7 linked regions of the Kluyveromyces lactis genome follow. The protein of the gene in region 5 binds, or shares a complex with, the protein of the main gene of each other region. Links are inferred from orthologs where the notes say so. Each region holds a gene or a part of one and is shown on either strand. Other genes may lie near its edges.

Region 1 (3,340 bases), on a different chromosome or scaffold from region 5:
TCAGAAATTAATGATTTAATGACAAAATTAGGGTCTAAAAGCGAACCACATAAGGTTTTGAAGGGTTTACTAGAAGAAATTTCAAACTTGCAAGATGCCCGCGAGAGAGAAAAACGAAATTCGGAGTCTAAATCTTCTGAGAGAACATACATGCAAAAGGAGATAGAAAGAGCCGCTCAATCTGTTGATGAAAGCAACAAAGAACAAGATAAATTAAGAGAAGAAATCAAGCTCTTGAAAACGAAAATAGAGGACAGTGTAGCCGAAAATAAAAAGAAGGTTGCCAGTGCTGAACAGAGAATAGATCTCTTGAAATCACAACTACAACAGGAAGGGCAAAATCTTGGAGGGCTTCATTCTAAACTTGGATATATAACTGATAGACTATCGAAAATTCAACCCAGCAGAGGAAGACAGGCGACTAATGGCCGATCGAAGAAATGATACGTAATTTTAACATCCATAATGATTAACGTTTTTACAAATTTGCGTAGAATTAATTAGACTCCCCATTTGTTAACTGAGCGGTCCCAACCCGCGCTATATATATCAGGACCTACAATATCAATTGACATAACCTTATCAAGATGCCCTTCAAGGCTTCGTTCCTTTATCCAGTTCCCATCATTGAAGATATTTACTTTCTTGTCATATCCACTCGACACTAAATATCCTCCGTTTTGCTTATTGAATTTGACTTGTGAAACAATGCTATTGTGAGCTAAGATCGTTTCCACATTTCCCTTTTTCCTAATATCCCAAACCTTTATAGTCCCGTCACCACTACCAGACGCAAGCTGATATCCATTTTGGGACCAGTCAACGGAATAAATAGGTTTTGAGTGTCCCTGTAATGACATGATATTTTTACCGGACCGTATGTCCCATATTAATGCAATTGCATCCAAACCAGCTGTACTCACCAATGAGCCATCATTGTGAAAAGATAGTGAGAAAACCTCCGCAGAATGACCTTCCTGAATCAAAATAGGGGCTTGTTTCACAGTATCTATCAGGATCCATGTTTTGTCAAAAGACGTACTTCCAATAAAACTATTACATGGATGGCATCGTACTTGGGCAAACCTGGCATCATTTTTATACAAGATCTTAACTGTGGTTTCATCACCACTATCATATATTACAATGCGTCCATCATGGGTACAGACAAAAATGTTTTTAGAGTCCACGCTCCAATCCAATCCACTAATCTTTGTGCCAGATAAAGATCTATTGCAGTAGATTTTGGACAACGAATTATCGACCAGAGACAAATTTCCGGACCAACTGCCACAAGCCATCAGGTCTCCACCAGGAGAAGTATTAATTTCAGAAATAGGTTTCTCATCTATCACCTGCATTCCCTTCAAAGAGAACTGTTTCAATTTACTTTCCAGGTCCCTTCGCTTACTTATGACGTTTTTCACATTTTGGCTGACAAGTCTTCGTCTCTCCTCCTCAAGCCTCAGCTTAGAGCGTTGCATAGAGTATATTATAAGAAACTTCCTCATTTCTATCAACTGCTGTGATGCTGGAGTGTAGAACTCCTCGTCTTCATCATCTACTTTACTTCTTTCAGTATCGATTTTCGTCTGGTCTTTGGAAGTTGACTCTACTAACCTTGTAACTCGTTCTCTGGCTTTTGGATCGCTAAGAATAAGATCAGAAAGTCGATCTCTGCGAGAATAATTATCTTCGCCAGCGATATCAACGGGCTCTCCCACTAGCTCTAGTGCTCGTCTAACGTCTGTATCTAGAGTAGGCACAATTTTGAGCCTTTCTTGCCTTTGGAATTCCAATCTTTTCAGAGCATCTCCGACTGATTGCCCATCCTGGTTTTTGTAGTCAACATCTACCTGCAAATCATCTAATTCTACCATTAGAAGTTACTGCAGATAGTCCAAAGGTGAGTTGTTACCGGTGCCACTTTTTTGATTTCATCTCTTTATCATCTCACTTCTTTAAAAGCATATTCATAAAATGAACTTTATCGTTATTCCTGAATATGAATAGTTCAAAAGTTGGAAAACAAGTGAGGTACTCCATCGAGTAAAAAGGGTCTGAAGCTAGGCGTCGATCGAACGATCATGAGTGAACAGCAGTTGTTAAGAGATAAACACATTGATTATATTGCGTCTTTAGATACTAAGAAAGATGATCTAGAGTACTGGCTCTCAGAACATCTAAGGTTGAATGGGGTATACTGGGGATTGACAGCCCTCTATCTCCTTGATTCTATCGAAACATTCAATAAGGAGGATGTAATACAGTTTGTCCTAAGCTGTTGGGATCATAAAACTGGTGGGTTTGCTGCGTTTCCAAGACATGATGGTCATCTATTAACGACTCTTTCAGGGCTTCAGATTTTGGCTACTTACAACGCTTTAGAGCGCTTGGGTTCAGAGAAGCAAGAACAATTGGAAAAATTTATCCTATCCAATCAAAAAGCAGACGGCTCATTCCAAGGTGATAGTTTTGGTGAAGTCGACACACGTTTCGTATATACTGCATTGAGCTGTTTGTCCATTTTACACAAATTGACGAAAGAAGTTGTAGAACCAGCAGTTTCGTATATCCTTAGATGTTACAATTTCGATGGCGGATTTGGCTTAAATCCTGAAGCAGAATCTCATGCTGCTCAGGCATTTACTTGCATTGCTGCTTTAGCAATCGTCGGAAAATTAGACTCTTTAACTCCAGCTCAGCAGGAGAATATTGCTGTTTGGCTCTCAGAAAGACAAGTTCCAGAGGGGGGCTTAAATGGTAGGCCAAGCAAACTGCCCGATGTATGCTATAGCTGGTGGGTATTATCAACACTTTCAATACTCCAAAAAGCTGATTGGATTGATTTTCCCAAGCTAACGGAGTTCATTTTGCATTGTCAGGATCCCAAAAATGGAGGGATTAGTGACAGACCAGACAACGAAGTCGACGTATTTCACACGGTTTTTGGTCTAGGAGGATTAAGTATAATGAAGTATCCAGGATTAAGAGATATTGATCCAGTATACTGTATGCCATATACGGTGACGAAATATTTCCAACGCAAGTACTCAGATTAGTGTCTTAGAAACTTAAATAAATTATGAATGCTAACGACCGCAAAAAGTAGGTCCACAAGTAGTTTAATATTGATAAATTAAAATGGTAGCTCTTCCTCTACTAGAACCTTAGAAGCAGGGAAGAATTCTATATATTTGGCAGCTCTTTTGTGAATAAATCTACCGGGGTTGATCGTTTTGCATCCGTTGTACGTTACATCGAAAGCTGGTGCGCTAGTGTCACACAGCATGATACTCGATGGAAGCGGTGATAGCTGCAATGTGAAATCAAGATCCCA
Region 2 (3,523 bases), on a different chromosome or scaffold from region 5:
AGATGTAAGGAATGGTACGGTTGGCATTTCCCAGAATTGGCCAAGATTGTTACTGATTCTGTTGCTTACGCCAGAATAATCTTGACCATGGGTATTAGAGTTAATGCTGCTGAAACTGACATGTCTGAAATTTTGCCTGAAGAAATTGAAGAGAGAGTCAAGACCGCTGCCGAAGTCTCCATGGGTACTGAAATTACCCCAGTTGATTTGATTAATATCAAGTGTTTAGCCGAACAAATTGTTGAATTTGCTGCCTACAGAGAACAACTTTCTAACTATTTGTCTTCAAGAATGAAGGCTATTGCTCCAAATTTGACTCAATTAGTTGGTGAATTGGTTGGTGCTAGATTGATCGCACACTCTGGTTCTTTAATCTCTTTGGCCAAGTCTCCAGCTTCCACCATCCAAATCTTGGGTGCTGAAAAGGCTCTTTTCAGAGCATTGAAAACTAAGCATGACACTCCTAAATATGGTCTATTGTACCACGCTTCCTTGGTTGGCCAAGCATCTGGTAAGAACAAGGGTAAGATTGCCAGAGTTTTGGCTGCTAAGGCTGCCGTTTCTTTGCGTTACGATGCTTTGGCTGAAGATAGAGACGATTCTGGTGACATCGGTTTGGAATCCAGAGCTAAGGTAGAATCAAGATTGTCCCAATTAGAAGGCAGAGACTTGAGAACCACACCAAAGGTCGTCCGTGAGCACAAGAAGACTGAAATCACAGAGGCTAGAGCATACAACGCAGATGCTGACACCGTGTCTTCAGCTGCTGCTCCTGCTGACTCTGATGATGAATCCGAGGACGAGGAAGAAACCAAGGAAGAAAAGAAATCTAAGAAGGATAAGAAGGATAAGAAGAGAAAGAGAGACGATGATGAAGAGTCTAAGGAATCTAAGAAGTCTAAGAAGGAGAAGAAAGACAAGAAGGAAAAGAAGGAAAAGAAGGAAAAGAAAGAAAAAAAGGATAAGAAATCTAAGAAGGAAAAGAAATAGATATAGTATTCACATTAAAACCCCACTCTTTTGCATTAAATCTCTAATAACCTCGTATAAATCTGTTCCATTACATACGAACATACTATGTGTGTACCTCTGTAAATTAGTCTGTATCAAATTCAAACAAAATATAATAATTGAATTATTGTCATACGCTGTACTCTTCTTCTCATTGTCATCGTCAATGGCTTTGATAGTTACATCAAAATATTCACTGATGAAAATGTTGAAATATACAATTCTTAAATTCGGACAAGTTGGCGATGAGATGAGGCAGAAAGAAAGCAACAGGATTTGATAATAAGGATATTCGACCACAATACGAATTCTACGAGGCATACAGTTACTTCAAAGCCATGGGTAAGATTACTTCTATATCTTTGGAAGAAACAAATCGAATTAGGGCAAGTTTAGGTTTGAAGACTATACCTAGGCCCACTGAGACGTCAACAGAATCAAAAGAAGGTGCATCTGATACAAATAGGAAAGTACGAAGATCTAGTCAGCTAAGTTCACGTCCCTCCGAAAAGGATTGTGCTTCTGGAAAAATAAATGGAAGCGCTCAAGATCGTGATAAAAAGATTGGTCAACTAAAACAAAGAATATATGAATCAAAGGAAGCAGTGGACCAAAGAGCGACTACTGATAAAGAATCTATTGATGACTGGCTTTCCAAAATTGGGAAACCTATCACTCACAAAGAATCTTCTGCTGAAAATGCTACTGTACATGATGACATTACGCATCACCATATCCCAGTATCAGATGAACTGAAATCTATTGCTGAACAGAAAGCAGTCATTTTTACATTGAAAGAAACTTCAGTGACAAACGACGAAGAGAATATTGATGACGAAAACATATTAGAGAATGAGAAGCTAGTTCATGATAAACAGGATGCCAAAAATCTTAAGCTACGGCAATTGAATAAAGATAGAAAACTAAACAAAATCTCCATCTTTGATTACAGCGATGAGGCTAATGATACAAACTCAAGATCTGACATACCATTACACGACTCCTTAGTAAATGATAAACCATTACCTGTTCACCAGTCTCTCCCTAAGAGGGTCAAAATTGAAAGTGACTCAGATGATGAGCAACCATATCAAGATTACGCACCAGTCAAGATTAAAAGGCGAAAGAAGAAATCAAATCAAAACCAGAAACCGAGAAGAATAGACACAGCGAGAATGGTGAAAGTTGATCTTTTGGAAGATGATGAGGATTTCTCAGACCGGCCAATTCAGGCAGTTGTCAAAGTCAAACAGAAACGCAGTAATGAGGAAATAACAGGGATAAAGAATTCATTGGAGTTGGAAAAACTCGAAGGACAGCAAAGAAGCAAAGGAATTCATATGTTGAACAATAGTGATAAAGGAATTCTTCTGGATGAAACCGATGAATTTTTGGATTCTTTGAAGGCGAACGTTCTTGACAGAGAACCTGTTAATGATGATTTGCCCATAAAAATCGATTTGAAACCAGTGCAAAAAGATAAAACGGGAACTATTCCAGCAACATTAGTCACCGATAACGATATCACGCAACCTGATTTCTCAGGAGGTGTGGCAGGAATGTTGAACTTCTTGAAGGAACGAAATATAATTAAGCAAGACGATCGCCCCAATATGGGAAGCGACAGTAAAAAACACGGAACGGATGTCAGGAAAGAGTTTGAGATCTTAAACGGCATTGTGAATTCCCTTAAGACTGTTGACGAAAAGTTGGACTCCAATGATGTAAACTTTTCTGAGGACGAATTGCGTAAGATTAAAGCTGCGCAAGCGGAAGAAATGGCATTGAAAATTCAACGTATACAAGAGGAAAAACTAAGAGACTACAACCCAACGGTCGAACTCGCATATCAGGATTCCGAGGGTAATGAGTTGAAAACTAAAGAGGCCTATAAACAACTTTCTCAAGCATGGCATGGGACAAAATCCAGTAAGAAGACTTTGGAAAGACAACGGAAGAAAATGGCGGACAGAAAGAAACAATTGGAAAGAGACTCATACTTGGGACTATAGAACCTTACATATCACACTTATTCAAAGTAATTAGAGTTAAAACCTATGGCATTTTGAATTGACGCTTCCTAGAAAATTGTCTTGCTCTGCCCACAGCAATCACGAGCTAGCACCATTCTGCAGAGAACCCTTTGTGCTTGGCTTTCCACGTGACTGCCAAAAAACGTTAACAACGTCAGCAAGCAAAAACATCACATCGGTCAGAAAGAAAGAAAAAAGACTGGAAATATATAATATAATAACATGGCATCAATTTTTGGCGACTTGTAATAGAAAGAGATACTTCTTACATAGTGACAGTCGGCTCTAAAATCGCTGCTCGCTCCATAAAGTAACAGTTCTTTTCGATCTATTCTATCGTTTGCTAAATTATTCTCATTCAACTTCGTTCCACTCGCTTTATTGATTTTAAGAAGGTGTGAATAAAATAAGCGAAAAATGATTGTAACTTCCAAGAGCGTCACTTCGAAGCGCCGTCCTTCGATCAATAAAACATTTTC
Region 3 (2,193 bases), on a different chromosome or scaffold from region 5:
TGGTATTATGTTATATGAGAATCTCGTATTATTTCTTAACTGAGAGTAATCCTTCCGAGCAAGATATATCGTTCAATTTATTACATGATTTAATGAAGAAATATATACTTGATCATAGAAAATTAAAAAGTTACTCGTTAGATATGGATTGTTGGTCATCATCGATTAAAAAAGAGATTAAATTGATACATTTCGATGAGTTGATAGACTGGTTATGCGACAGGAATGAAATTTGGGGCATCCCCTTAGGAAAATGCAATTGGTGTAAAATATGGGACGATGAAGAGGACGATGAGAGCTCAAGCGACTCGGACTCCAGCTCTGATCCAAGAGATGACAGTGATCAAATTTGATTCCATTCTTTCTTTTTTTGGAGGCATCGACTGGAAAGAACGGCTATTCATTATGAAAGATAATTATCAATAGTGTTTAATCATTCATCAAAACAAAGTCCATAACATCACTACATATTTATTTCCACATATGTTTTCTGATGTATATTAAAATGCCCTCTTTGGACGTTTAGGAGCATTCCCGTTACTCTCAAGTGATCTCTTCTTATTCGGATCACTTCCCACTTTACCTTGTTTCCTCAACCTGTTGACTTCCTGTTGGTCTACAAGCAACGCATCCAAATTGATACTATCTGGTAAAATAATCTGCCTTATCGTATTACCCCTAATGTTGATGAACTCGAGGCTAGTTGTTCTCTTAGATTCTTGTCCTTGTGTCGATCCACCTGACAATAAGACGGCAGCCAAGGTAGCTTCTGAGGTCTTAGTAGGGAGTGTCAGCCTGACGTCAGTAAGAGAGACGTTCATCTGCGGTGACACACTCCTCACTATTCCCCAAACAGTGGTACCATTCTTCAACTCTATAGACACCCTTTCATTCTTTAGTTTCTTTAAGAACCCTGTTAACTGCATTTTGTCTGTATATAAAACTTCGTTGTTTCAATCGGACTAAAGATACACCAGAAAGCTGTTACCAGTTTCAAATGGTTTTGATGAAAAAGAGTTTTGAATTTTGCAAAAGTAACAGATGATCCACAAGCAACTTCCTGATTTTGATAAAAGATCAGGATTTGATCGTAGTTACTCAATTGACATATTCTACATAATGATGGATGAAATGGTTCAAATTGATACTCAAGAATCAATGGGGTCGTTCTTTCCTGGAAAAGAGTGGAAATTTCATATTATCACGTGCCTTAACAGGGTAACTCATTTGCGTGAGATTCCAATGGTTTCTTACATTCGAGCGAGCATGTGTTCGAATCTTACATGGAACCCAAAAAGTATTTAGATCCGTTGCATCTCATGTTAAATGGTTAACAGATACACGGAGAAGTGCGATAAGAAACTATCCATGCAAGCGATAACAAAACGTTCTGTCAGTCATTGCTTTGATAAAATCTGGATATATATATATATATATATATATAGATGTTAAAGTCAGATATTACTCTTTTCATATCTCATGGATCGCAAGCTTTCAAGGTTACTGCTGCTCGCATCGAGAGATTGGGAGTATTAAAGATTAACGCCAAGAGTAAACATGTCGTCATCAGTAATCTTGAAGAGATATAATATTTTACTCAAACGTAACCCGTTATTAACTAAATGCATAACAGGCGCGGTATTAACTGGGTTAAGCGAACTGTTCAGTCAATGGGTTAGTCTGTCTCCAGAGGAAAGAAAAGAGAAGCTAAATTGGATCAAAGTGGCATTGATGAGTCTATATGGTGGTCTATTTAACGCACCAGTTAATCATTTCAGTTACAAATGGATAAACGAATACACAATTAGGAAAGTGGTATCCAAATATAGAAGCTTGGTCCAGTTAGGCTGCTCATTAGGCATGGTATCGCCTATTCAAGTGTTAGGGTTACTATTTACCTTGACTTCTGTTAACAACGGTAAGGTTGACAAAACAAAAATTATACACGCAATCAAGACAAGATATGCGGCAATGTTGTCTTCCAGCTTGGCAACATCAACGGTATTGATGTCAATTGCTCAAAGATACATTTCACCAGATAAATGGTCCGTATTTTTTAGTTTGGCATACGCAATTCTGGGTACGGCTCAGAATATTTATTTGAAGAAATTCAAGAAATAAGGGTCTTGATCCATTCTGATAAAATATTACTTTCATTCTTCAAGGAAAGAATCTCTCTCCGCAAATTCTCTT
Region 4 (2,334 bases), on a different chromosome or scaffold from region 5:
CCGGTTACAAGCTATAGATCTCTGCAAGAAGGTGCGTATCTTTTACTGCATAATTTGCCCATTTATGATGGTGGTGTTGTGCATCATGTGCCTCTGCTGGTAGCTTTAATGGCATTCGTTCAACAAGCGGAGTTTCTAATGCCCGTTTTGTTTGCGGCCATGGACACTCTAATAGCGTATCAATTGATGCAAATAGCTAAGATATATCAACGCCAATTGCAAATTCCTAGTTATATTCCAGGTGTGGTTTATGCAGTGAACCCTTTGGTACTTTTATCATGTGTCTCACAATCGACATGTCTATTTGTGAACCTTTCCATTTCTACTTCTTTACTATTTGCGTTATCTAGACAGTTCTCACTGTCAGCCATATGCATTGCGTTGGCTGGTTATTTATCACCTTACGCTTATCTACTGTTGATCCCATTGGCAGGAATCTGTGGATCAAATTCTTTCGGCCTTGTTGTCAAGTGTACATTGGTATCGATTGTTTTGCAGTTGATCAGTTTCAAGTTAAATAACGATAACTGGAACTATTTGACTTCAACATACTGGATATTGATTACTTTCAGTAAGATAAGGCCAAATCTAGGGTTGTGGTGGTATTTCTTTATTGAAATGTTCGAATTTTTCATCCCATTTTTCAAATCTGTGTTCAACATATTTGTTGTTTCATTTATCCCACCTTTCACTATTAGATTCAATCAGCAATCGTTTTACGCATTTGTTCTATGTCTAGGTTGGATTACGCTCACCAAATCATACCCAACGTTAGGTGACGGAGGGTTTTTCTTAAGTTTTATCCCATTTTTCAAACCGATCTTTGGGTATCTAAGATATCCAGTCATATCAACCCTTTTATTCATTCATGCCATCATTTTGTCACCAATCTTCTACTACCTATGGATTGGATTAGGCTCCGGTAATAGTAACTTTTTCTATGCCATTTCTTTGGTTTATGCGTTAGCCATCTCGTCAGTGATTGTGGATTTGACGTGGGCCATGTTAAGAATTGAATACGATTCAGGTAAACCAAACCTTTCATTAAAACTGACTCAAATTTGAATGAACCCTGTTCCTTCTGTTGGAAGAAACATATCGTATTGTCATTATTTAATATATATCTAAGTATGACTTACCCAGTGCATGGCATAAAAACTTTTGAAAACTGTCCGGACTACTTTGGTTTGTTTTATTTGTTCCCTTGGTAGGGCATCTAATATTTCCATGCCATATTGAAAAACATGAAAATACAGTATTGCAAAAAGATAGACAACGAAAACATTACGTAGCAACCAACAGACGTAATAAAACCTTTAACAGATTCTCGAATTATATCGTGTAATCGATACATATCAGAACACCCGCGCATTAACGTATTGAAATGGTAAGTTTTCTTGTTCCATACTTTTTTGGTCGCAGCTAGGACGATTATGTCCATCTGCGATCGATGAATCCACAGATTTTGTCACCTTACTAACCAATTTAAACGTTGCAGGATCCAGAGGAATTCAAACCAATTAACCCTAAACCCTTTTTACATCAATTGATAGACAAAGATGTGCTGGTGACACTCAAATTCAATAAAATACAATATAAAGGAAGACTTGTATCGGTAGATACATATTTCAATCTACAACTAACAGATGCGGAAGAGATCATAAATGATGTCTCAAGTGGGAAAGTTGGGGACATTTTCATCAGATGTAATAACGTGCTATACGTAGGAGAGGATGTGAACAAGCAAAGTGATCAACCCCCTACGCCGACTGGAACAACAGAGAAATCTGACGATAAAGAGGAAAATGGAGAACTCGCAGAAGAAGCGAATTAATATAGCACTAGTCTGAATATTATTGAAGCAAACAAGGAAACATCGGAATAATTATGGATTCACTGTATAGCTTTCCTCAGTTGTAATAGAATTAGGGAACTGCTTATCTTAATAAAGGGAATATTAGTATTAGTATAATTAATGATAGTATAGTTTATGTAGGTTTTACAATTCAAAGGCTCATTCTAAAAAAATCTCTAGAGATTAATACCTTATGTTTTTCATTCCAAGAAGGTCTCGTTCACGGTGTAACAGCTGTTCCAGCCACCATGGATTTCTTATTGCTTACTAGTTTTCCAGTTGAGTTGGGGTAGTGATTTCCAAAAAAAATGCAAAAATGAAACGGACAGGAATTGAACCTGCAACCCTTCGATTGCAATTTTGTTTCCATAGAAATTTCCAGGATTTAACTGGAGTCGAAAGCTCTACCATTGAGCCACCGCTTCATTCTTAAGGTTTTTATCTATAACATCTTCTATATGAAATGGAGTGGCAGCATT
Region 5 (4,111 bases):
CAAGATCAATAGAACAAGGAAGATGGAAACGAATAACGATTTAGTAGATTTTGTGAAGATAAGCACGATGGGCATGACACCTTCATGATTCATTACCTCAGAGACATCAGGTAGAATGAGCATCATTGGGATCAAGAAAAATAGTCCGGAAACTAGTGAGATTATCACAGAGCGTGTCATACTGTAAGGAATATCTTTCTCTGGTTTCTCAGTTTCGTCAGATAATGCCGATAACATCGCAAACCCTTGGAAAGTGAAATTAGATTGCTGAAACCCTCCAATTAAAAATGACAAGGCCATAGAACTATACCCCGACAAACTATTATCGAATTTGGTAAAGACATCCTTGAATGATCTATGGTTTGGTTGGAATAATAGGAGAAGTGTACTTGTGAATAATATCGCATATAAGATCCAGTAAACACAGACCTTATTGATAGTTTCAATGAAACTTGAAAATTTTAGATTAATGACTCCAACCACAGTCACAATGAGATAAAACATTAGCACAGTCCATAACGTCAACCACCGGGAGTCTATCAGAGATTCATTAGTCATTGTCAGCAAAGAAATAATCAATTGTGCACCCGCAAACGTAATACTAGTGCTCATCGTCCAACTTCCAAACAACATTAGCCAACCACAGTACCAAGACATACGCAACCGAAGTCTGCCAGGCGCAAGCATGGCCGCTGCACCGTGAAGTTCTATGGGGTACTTCGAGACTATCTCACTGAGCGACAGTGAACTAATCCACGTCATTATCCCACATATCAGATACCCAAATATTATCGATGGAGATCCACCATTTAGCAATCCAATACTCATAGTAGTGCTCATACCAAGTACGGGACTCATCAACCCAAACCCTAGACCAATAACAGAAGTCCGCGAAAGTAAATTCTTGTCAAGTTGCTGTACATATGTAAACTCTTTAACCTCATCGGGAATATCCTGGTCTTCCTCGTTCAATAAAGACAACAATCGCTCGGGAATGTGTATGTTCCCGTTAAGATTAGAAAGCCAGATGTATTCAGGCATTTCAAAATGCAGTTCGGCTCTGTGTGACCCCTTGGTAAGCTCACCCTTTTTATTTCCTAGAACCCTTTCGGCATCCGTCTTGGCAAAATGTCTGTCTTTTCGAGGGCTCATCGATATTTTCAGTTCTTAGACATTATGTAAATGTTGACGAAAGTCAAAGCTTCGAGTAATGAAGATAGAATGATAAGCACATGCATTGCTCTTAGGGAAGACTACTGCGATTTGGGTGACGTGACTCAGCACTGAGTACTTTTGGAAGGAAATACAATAATGGATGAAGATTTGTACGATGAGTTCGGTAATTTCATTGGGGATCCAATGCAATTAATCGATTCTGATGATGATAGTTTGGAAGAAGTAGGAGAGCAGGAAGCTCAACATGAATTACGGCAAAAGATAGTCGAGGCTGACTCTACCGATGTGGTACTTCGAGATGTGAACCGTGATTTCGATGATGATGTTGAAGTTTTGTTGGAAGTGGAAGATAGAGAACCTGAGAAACCATTGATTGGGGACGATTCGAAATCATATAGCGAAGCTGTTAACAGGAAAGTACCTAAAGCACTATTTGACAGAGGGTACTTGAAAAGCCTTTTCTCGATACCAGAACGTCAGTTAAATGTTGGAATTTTCGGGGCGCTACATTGTGGTAAGACTTCTTTCACGGATATGTTTGCGTTAGATACTCATCGCAATCTTCCGTCCTTGACAAAAAAAGTTAAGGAGGGATGGGTACCGTTTAGGTACCTCGACCAAGCGAGGATAGAAAAGGAACGTGGTATTTCGCTTAGATTGAATGGTATGTCGTTTGCATATGAATCGTCAAGAGGACGTACGTATGCAGTGACGATGTTGGACACACCTGGACATGTAAATTTTTGGGACGATGTCGGTATTGCTTTGACTGCTTGCCAATATGGTGTAATCATCGTTGATGTGATAGAAGGAATTACTTCTGTAGTTTCCAAACTGATAAGAGAATTGATAAGTAATGGGATCCCCTTTATCATCGTTCTTAACAAAATTGATAGATTAATTTTGGATTTGAGACTTCCTCCTACAGACGCATACAGCAAACTACAATATATCGTGAACGAAATAAACACATATACCAAAGAAAGATTCTCACCGGAGCTAGGTAATGTACTCTTTGCCAGTACCAAGTTTGGATTCTTATTCTCTGTGGAGTCTTTTGTGAACTCATTTTACGCTAAATCGTTAAAGGATAAGACAGAACAATTTGCTGCTCAACTTTGGGGTCAAATTAATTACAGAGAAGGAGCATTCTACCAAACAGAATTTATTACGGACAACATTGCATTCATTCAGTTTATTTTACAACCTTTATACAAGGTTTTCACTCATACATTATCTGCATCCGAGGAAGAACTAAGAACAGTCATCGAAACCAATTTTCAAATCAGGCTTTCAGATGAGATTCTATCAAAGGATCCTCAGCCGCTACTTTTTAGCGTGTTTCATGCTATACTACCGCACTATCACTGCTTCATCGATGCTATTGTTTCAACACAGGACCACAAAATCAACAACTTATCATCCGATGAAAGCACTGTTGTACATGTATTGAGACACATGAGCCTGGAAGGTTCCAAGTGGTCCCTTTGTCGGATAATAGAGGGCTCAGTGAAAAAAGGCAACAAACTCTATATTTTCAATGAGTCCGTAGACTCTGTAGTAGATTTTGGTGATGATGAATACTCCAAGGTTACTATTGAGCGTGTAGCCTTAATGGGAGGTAGGTATGTCTACGAACTCGAGGAAGCAATAAAAGGACAGATTGTACTTTTAAAAGGTTTTGAAGATCAGTATACGAAATATGCAACTTTGTCTTCGAGCTTGATGAACCCGCTAGCACCAATTAACTATCTCAACGAATCGGTGTTCAAATTCGCCATACAGCCTCAGAAACCAAGTGAACTACCGAGACTATTGAACGGTCTTCAACAAGCAAACGAATTGTACCCTGCATTAGTGGTTAGAGTTGAAGAAAGCGGCGAAAACATCATAATTGGAACAGGAGAACTTTACCTTGATTGCGTGATGGACGAATTACGGAAAAAATTCTGTGAAATTGAGATCAAAGTAAGCCAACCGCTTGTGCAATTCACGGAAAGTTGTCAGAACGAATCGTTCGCGTCAATTCCTGTAAAGTCAAACAACGGTGTAGTATCACTCAGCGTTATGGCCGAAAAATTAGATGGAAAGATAGTACACGATTTGACGCATGGTGAAATCGACAGTTCAGAATTGAATAACATGAGAAAGTTCTCCAAACGTCTAAGAACCGAGTATGGATGGGACTCATTGGCAGCTAGAAACTGCTGGGATTTATCAAAATGTAATGTATTCATTGACGATACTCTACCTGATGAAACGGATAAGCAACTACTCAAGAAATATAAAGAAAACATTTTACAAGGGTTTGAATGGGCTGTGAAAGAAGGACCATTGGCTGATGAAACAATCCATGCATGCCAATTTAAACTCTTGCAATTCAAGGTACAAGAAGACAGCATCGAAGATATCATCCCATCTCAACTAGTGCCAATGACGAGAAAGGCATGTTACATTGCGCTAATGTCTGCTACTCCAATTATCATGGAACCCATCTATGAAGTCGATATTATCGTATCGGGGGTATTGGAGTCTGTGATTCAGAATTTATTGAAGAGACGCAGAGGTGGAAGAATTTACAAGACAGAAAAGATAGTGGCATCACCATTCATAGAAATAAAGGCTCAATTACCTGTCATCGAGTCGATTGGATTTGAGACAGATCTTCGTGTTGCGACCGCCGGTAGCGGAATGTGTCAAATGCACTTTTGGAATAAAATATGGAGAAAAGTGCCAGGTGACGTACTTGACGAAGAAGCCTTCATACCGAAGTTGAAACCAGCGCCTGCTGCAAGCCTAAGCAGGGACTTTGTGATGAAGACAAGACGTCGCAAGGGTTTATCTGAAAGTGGTCACATGACTCAAGACGGGCCATCATTAAAGAAATACATTGATCAAGATCTATTCAAGAAGTTGCAACAAAAACGATTTGTAT
Region 6 (2,258 bases), on a different chromosome or scaffold from region 5:
TGATTTTAGACAAAGTTTTCTTTGGTGTGCTTGACCAAGGAAACGGATGGCTTTATATTTATGAGACACCACAACAGGATGCCACTTATGATTCTTCGTTAGAATTGATCAATCAACTCAATGGAGTTGTAGAACAACTCTTTGAAAAAGCCGCTGTATTATACTAAAATTAAAAATTCATTATAATACGCTCATCCTTCAATCATTAAAGTAACTTAGTAAATAAATATATTTTACGTAGGTTTAAGATCATTCGAAATTCAAATAAAGTATTCCTCCGGTACCTTGAAAGGTACGCCCAATATTTTAGCAAACTCTTTGTCACTGTCACTAAAATCATTTGGTCTTCCTGCAGCATCCCCGCAGTAAAATAAAAGTTCAATTGAGTCCGATTGTTCGTCAGAATCTTTAAGAAATTCATCAAACAAACCACGATTGGGTTTTCTCACATTATCAAACATTTCAGGTGTTACCATTGTCCCGTTTATTCTTTTCTTCTGGCCAGAAATAATGTTCTTAACAACTTTATTTGCGTGAGCAGTGCTGGCGGCTTTGCTGCCACCAAAAAGGGAAGCTGGTTTTTTAGTAGCACAGTAAATCCAAATACGATCACACAGTTGAGAATCGTTTTCCGATATGTATTTCAATACTTTGCAAATTTTATCAACGTGTTTTACGCAGCTTTTAGAGGTTCTAGGTTCACTAACAACACCGCCTTGGTTGGAGAAGAAGACGATGTGAAAATCTGGTGTTTCCTTCATTTGTGCCGAAAGTTTAGCAAGTACCTCGGTTTTTCCATATTTCATGAATATCCAATCATCTGATGTCCTACTGAATCGGCCTTTAACTGGTTTGATCACGGTGTGATCAAGGTCAAATGAGATGACCTTCCTTACAGGGGCGGGATCTTTGGGAACCCATTTTATGATATGAGGGAGAATGGTAAGCTTATGAGTAGACTGTGACATGATAGCAAACTGTTACAATTAATATGACAATGGCTGACTCCTTTGAAATACTCTTGTACTTTACTAATTTGTAGTTCCATTTATGCCTTCTTTTGAGATGAAATGACTTAAAAGATCCAATATGGAAAACATCAACTAATTTAATGTTGACATGCATAATAAGTTCCATGACCTAGGAAGAGATCAGGTACTGAGTTCTGAGAAGGAGTACTATTCACTATAAATCAATATGTCATTTGGACGAAGAACATGGAATAGAGAAGAGTATGCTGCCAAGGCAGCAACTTCTCCAGGAGGGCAATCTCATCTTTCATCATTAGACCAGGAACAACTGAAAGCTTTAAAAGATAGATACACAGACTACAATGCTTTACTCGAGTATAATCTACGCGACATCAATAAAAAGACGTTATCAGCCAATCTAAGTCAGCAGAAAAAAGGTAAACAGTTCGGGTTTTACTGTGACATATGTGACTTAACCTTCAAAGACACACTACAATTCATTAACCATTTGAATCACAAATCACATGTTGTACGGTTTGAGAACATATTCAACGAGCCATTGATAAAAGATACGAGGGATAATGATCTAGTACCACTTAATGAGGTACGATCCCAGTTTCATAAATCTGTATCAGCATTTATCGGGGACACTGAATTGAGATCCAATAAACGCAAAGCGGCAAAGAGAGTCAAATGTGAGAAATCTGATGCAGAAATCAAATATCAACCACAGTCTGAAATCGGCAGGTTAATGGGTTTCACAGAATTCGGAAGTTCCAAGAAATAACATAAATATTGACGTTTTTATTCGAAGCATATCTACATCCCACTATTCACAACGTACTTCTGCTGAATGGCAATTAGATACTGATGATATTTACAAAGTTTAATCGAGATAAAGTTGGATGGATTGTTATAGGAAGTCCCCAGATATATGCAAAAGGGTGCCGATGGGGAAAATGGCATGAGGGGTCATTTTAGATGGTCTCAACTTTATCCACGGTTTTAAAGTATTTGGAAACCTGGCCGTCTCCTTCTGAATTTGGTACAATAACTTTGTCGATAACGGAAACCTCATTTTCGAACTTGATCGCATCTTTTATATTGTCTGGGAAGTCAAGTAGATAAACAGTGTCACCCTTTTGACATTTCTCCTTCATATATTTACCTATCAAGACGACAGAGAGACCTGTTGGTAGTTTTTCCATGTACGATTTCCCCTCCTTTTCATATAAATCATTTAAAAGCACATAATATTTATCGTCAGACTTATTTCTGAAGAATTCA
Region 7 (2,029 bases), on a different chromosome or scaffold from region 5:
GGTGAGGGTTCAACTATTAAGGACAGCGATAAATGTGGTACCTGTCATAGCCACGGTTTCAAATTGAATTCAAATAAAACTATCACCGTAGACTTACCTCACGGACTTCAGGACGGTGACACAATTAGAGTACCTAACCAAGGTAGTTACCCCGGTATGGCTATCGATCCGTCCATGAAATCTGAATTGCATTTAACCAGAGGCGATTTGTTGATTCGTGTCAGAGTCAGGAAAGACACAAGATTCCAAGTTTCAAATAATTACGACATCATTTACACTCAGGAAATCCCAATTACAACGGCAGCACTAGGTGGCGTCATTGAAGTACCCACCGTAGAGGAAGAAAAGATCAGATTGAAGGTCAGCTCTGGTACTCAACACGATCAAGTCATCAGAATTCCAAATAAGGGTGTCCCTCGTGGAGCTAGAGGTGACAGGGGTGACATGCTTGTCAAGTTCAAGATTGTTATCAAAAAACCAAAGGATGAAACAGAACGTTATCTATGGGAGACCTTGGCCCACTTGACCAATGATACCACTGCAAGAAGGACCATTACTCCCTCTGGATCGTCGGCTAAGGACAACTCTTCCTCTGCTGATAAAGACACAGTTGAAAACAATGAAGGAACCATCAAGAAATTGGAAAATTTCTTGTCTAACACTTTAAAGAAGATCAGAGGGGAATGAAATCCTTAAATCGCATATATGCTCTCCCGTCATACATTCCACCTTCATTCTTTCATAATTCTTTGATTGGATGAACTAATTACGACATTGGCATTCTCATTATTCATGTACCACTTACAGCAGTCATAGCCAGTAATTGCATATACTGCACATTATTTTATAAAACCCTTTAACATCATGTAAATACCAATTTCCCTATATATATATATAATTGCACTTAGCGCATAATACTTATCGTTTTGATATTCTCTTACTAGTTATCCCTACTTACCATATTTAGCTCGGGATTGAAATTCATGCCAATGACAACGAATGTTTTCAGTAAGGGTCGATATGCTTTAGTAACTTATTCTGACCATCGTTGTCTTCTTAACATTGTGACATTGAAAATTACTTTTGAATGGAAAAAGCATAATTATGTACAAAATTCATCAATTGAAATATACTGAAGATAAATTTCGAAGGACTTTTGCCAAGAGTTAAGAGACTATATCTACGACTTATCACTTCCGTACGACCCATTATAAACCATCCAATATTCCATGACATCTCCAGATTTGAGAAAAGTATGTTTACCCCTGTTTTCCAGGAAAAATCTTATCAGAATTTAAATTACTAACTATAATATGATTCGTTGCAAACAGTACATGGACAAGAAACTCATTCTACAGCTTAACGGCAATAGGAAAATTATTGGAATATTACGAGGATATGATGCATTTTTGAACTTAGTACTGGATAATCCAATACAGATTTTCGAAGAAGGAGAGGTCCAAATGGGACCCCAGACTGTTGTTAGAGGTAACTCCATTGTATCGATAGAACCTCTTGACAGTTTGTAAGAGCAGAAGGGAGACAAATACAACTCAATGTGTCGGAACACTTTACTTAGTGACATTTACGTACAATGAATTATGCTAGTAGAAAGGAAGGATAGATATGATAGAGCGCACACTGGTTACAACATCATTTGTCGAATCTGATTTGCATTTCGACACCAGCTTTTTTCAATCCACATTTCTCATAGAATCCAACATTACTTTCATCACAATCAAGAATAACTTTATAGCATCCATACTCGTTAGCTAATTTGTATAAATACTGAATTAATATCAATCCCAATTTCTTCCCCTGTTGATCTTTTCTCACTGCAATGTCTTCAATATGACCAACAAGCCCACATTCGTGAATAACTTTTTTCTCGACTAGCACGTTTCCTGTGGCGACAACTTCCCCATTTGTGTCAACGATCACAGTGCTATTGTACATAGGTATATCTCCTATCGTGACTGAATCCCAATGGTCTATTAGTGAATGGAATTGATCTTGGCTCACATCACCA

Evidence for each region.
Region 1: SNU114 (region 5) and PRP4 share a complex: the UniProt entries of both Saccharomyces cerevisiae proteins name them as parts of the U4/U6-U5 tri-snRNP complex. The link is inferred for Kluyveromyces lactis from reciprocal best matches to the Saccharomyces cerevisiae genes SNU114 and PRP4.
Region 2: SNU114 (region 5) and SNU66 share a complex: the UniProt entries of both Saccharomyces cerevisiae proteins name them as parts of the U4/U6-U5 tri-snRNP complex. The link is inferred for Kluyveromyces lactis from reciprocal best matches to the Saccharomyces cerevisiae genes SNU114 and SNU66.
Region 3: SNU114 (region 5) and SMD1 share a complex: the UniProt entries of both Saccharomyces cerevisiae proteins name them as parts of the U4/U6-U5 tri-snRNP complex. The link is inferred for Kluyveromyces lactis from reciprocal best matches to the Saccharomyces cerevisiae genes SNU114 and SMD1.
Region 4: SNU114 (region 5) and SMX3 share a complex: the UniProt entries of both Saccharomyces cerevisiae proteins name them as parts of the U4/U6-U5 tri-snRNP complex. The link is inferred for Kluyveromyces lactis from reciprocal best matches to the Saccharomyces cerevisiae genes SNU114 and SMX3.
Region 6: SNU114 (region 5) and SNU23 share a complex: the UniProt entries of both Saccharomyces cerevisiae proteins name them as parts of the U4/U6-U5 tri-snRNP complex. The link is inferred for Kluyveromyces lactis from reciprocal best matches to the Saccharomyces cerevisiae genes SNU114 and SNU23.
Region 7: SNU114 (region 5) and SMX2 share a complex: the UniProt entries of both Saccharomyces cerevisiae proteins name them as parts of the U4/U6-U5 tri-snRNP complex. The link is inferred for Kluyveromyces lactis from reciprocal best matches to the Saccharomyces cerevisiae genes SNU114 and SMX2.

What each region holds. Positions count from the first base shown.
Region 1 is NC_006041.1:426,818-430,157, reverse strand, and holds PRP4 (U4/U6-U5 snRNP complex subunit PRP4), read right to left. Parts: upstream 1,881-3,340; coding exon 501-1,880; downstream 1-500. Other genes in the region: HDA3 (Hda3p), read left to right, coding at 1-444; Rab geranylgeranyltransferase BET2, read left to right, coding at 2,088-3,062; DPB2 (DNA polymerase epsilon noncatalytic subunit), read right to left, coding at 3,140-3,340. UniProt on the Saccharomyces cerevisiae protein: Involved in RNA splicing. Is required for the association of U4/U6 snRNP with U5 snRNP in an early step of spliceosome assembly.
Region 2 is NC_006042.1:799,090-802,612, reverse strand, and holds SNU66 (U4/U6-U5 snRNP complex subunit SNU66), read left to right. Parts: upstream 1-1,349; coding exon 1,350-3,023; downstream 3,024-3,523. Other genes in the region: RNA-processing protein NOP58, read left to right, coding at 1-990; SLY41 (Sly41p), read left to right, coding at 3,462-3,523. UniProt on the Saccharomyces cerevisiae protein: Component of the U4/U6.U5 tri-snRNP particle, one of the building blocks of the spliceosome. Required for pre-mRNA splicing.
Region 3 is NC_006040.1:320,449-322,641, reverse strand, and holds SMD1 (mRNA splicing protein SMD1), read right to left. Parts: upstream 927-2,193; coding exon 501-926; downstream 1-500. Other genes in the region: U4/U6-U5 snRNP complex subunit PRP38, read left to right, coding at 1-353; KLLA0_D03751g (uncharacterized protein), read left to right, coding at 1,558-2,121; KLLA0_D03740g (uncharacterized protein), read right to left, coding at 2,111-2,193. UniProt on the Saccharomyces cerevisiae protein: lays a role in pre-mRNA splicing as a core component of the spliceosomal U1, U2, U4 and U5 small nuclear ribonucleoproteins (snRNPs), the building blocks of the spliceosome. Also binds telomerase RNA and is required for its accumulation.
Region 4 is NC_006041.1:436,335-438,668, forward strand, and holds SMX3 (mRNA splicing protein SMX3), read left to right. Parts: upstream 1-1,384; coding exon 1,385-1,387; intron 1,388-1,498; coding exon 1,499-1,834; downstream 1,835-2,334. Other genes in the region: GPI-anchor transamidase subunit GAB1, read left to right, coding at 1-1,065. UniProt on the Saccharomyces cerevisiae protein: Plays a role in pre-mRNA splicing as a core component of the spliceosomal U1, U2, U4 and U5 small nuclear ribonucleoproteins (snRNPs), the building blocks of the spliceosome.
Region 5 is NC_006037.1:603,700-607,810, forward strand, and holds the start of SNU114 (U5 snRNP GTPase SNU114), read left to right. Parts: upstream 1-1,311; coding exon 1,312-4,111. Other genes in the region: TPO5 (Tpo5p), read right to left, coding at 1-1,152. UniProt on the Saccharomyces cerevisiae protein: Component of the U5 snRNP complex required for pre-mRNA splicing. Binds GTP.
Region 6 is NC_006041.1:139,308-141,565, forward strand, and holds SNU23 (U4/U6-U5 snRNP complex subunit SNU23), read left to right. Parts: upstream 1-1,197; coding exon 1,198-1,758; downstream 1,759-2,258. Other genes in the region: proteasome regulatory particle lid subunit RPN6, read left to right, coding at 1-167; TPP1 (polynucleotide 3'-phosphatase), read right to left, coding at 261-968; AIM36 (Aim36p), read right to left, coding at 1,949-2,258. UniProt on the Saccharomyces cerevisiae protein: Participates in pre-mRNA splicing. Part of the U4/U5/U6 tri-snRNP complex, one of the building blocks of the spliceosome.
Region 7 is NC_006040.1:658,908-660,936, forward strand, and holds SMX2 (mRNA splicing protein SMX2), read left to right. Parts: upstream 1-1,229; coding exon 1,230-1,253; intron 1,254-1,331; coding exon 1,332-1,529; downstream 1,530-2,029. Other genes in the region: MDJ1 (Mdj1p), read left to right, coding at 1-687; GNA1 (glucosamine 6-phosphate N-acetyltransferase), read right to left, coding at 1,654-2,029. UniProt on the Saccharomyces cerevisiae protein: Plays a role in pre-mRNA splicing as a core component of the spliceosomal U1, U2, U4 and U5 small nuclear ribonucleoproteins (snRNPs), the building blocks of the spliceosome.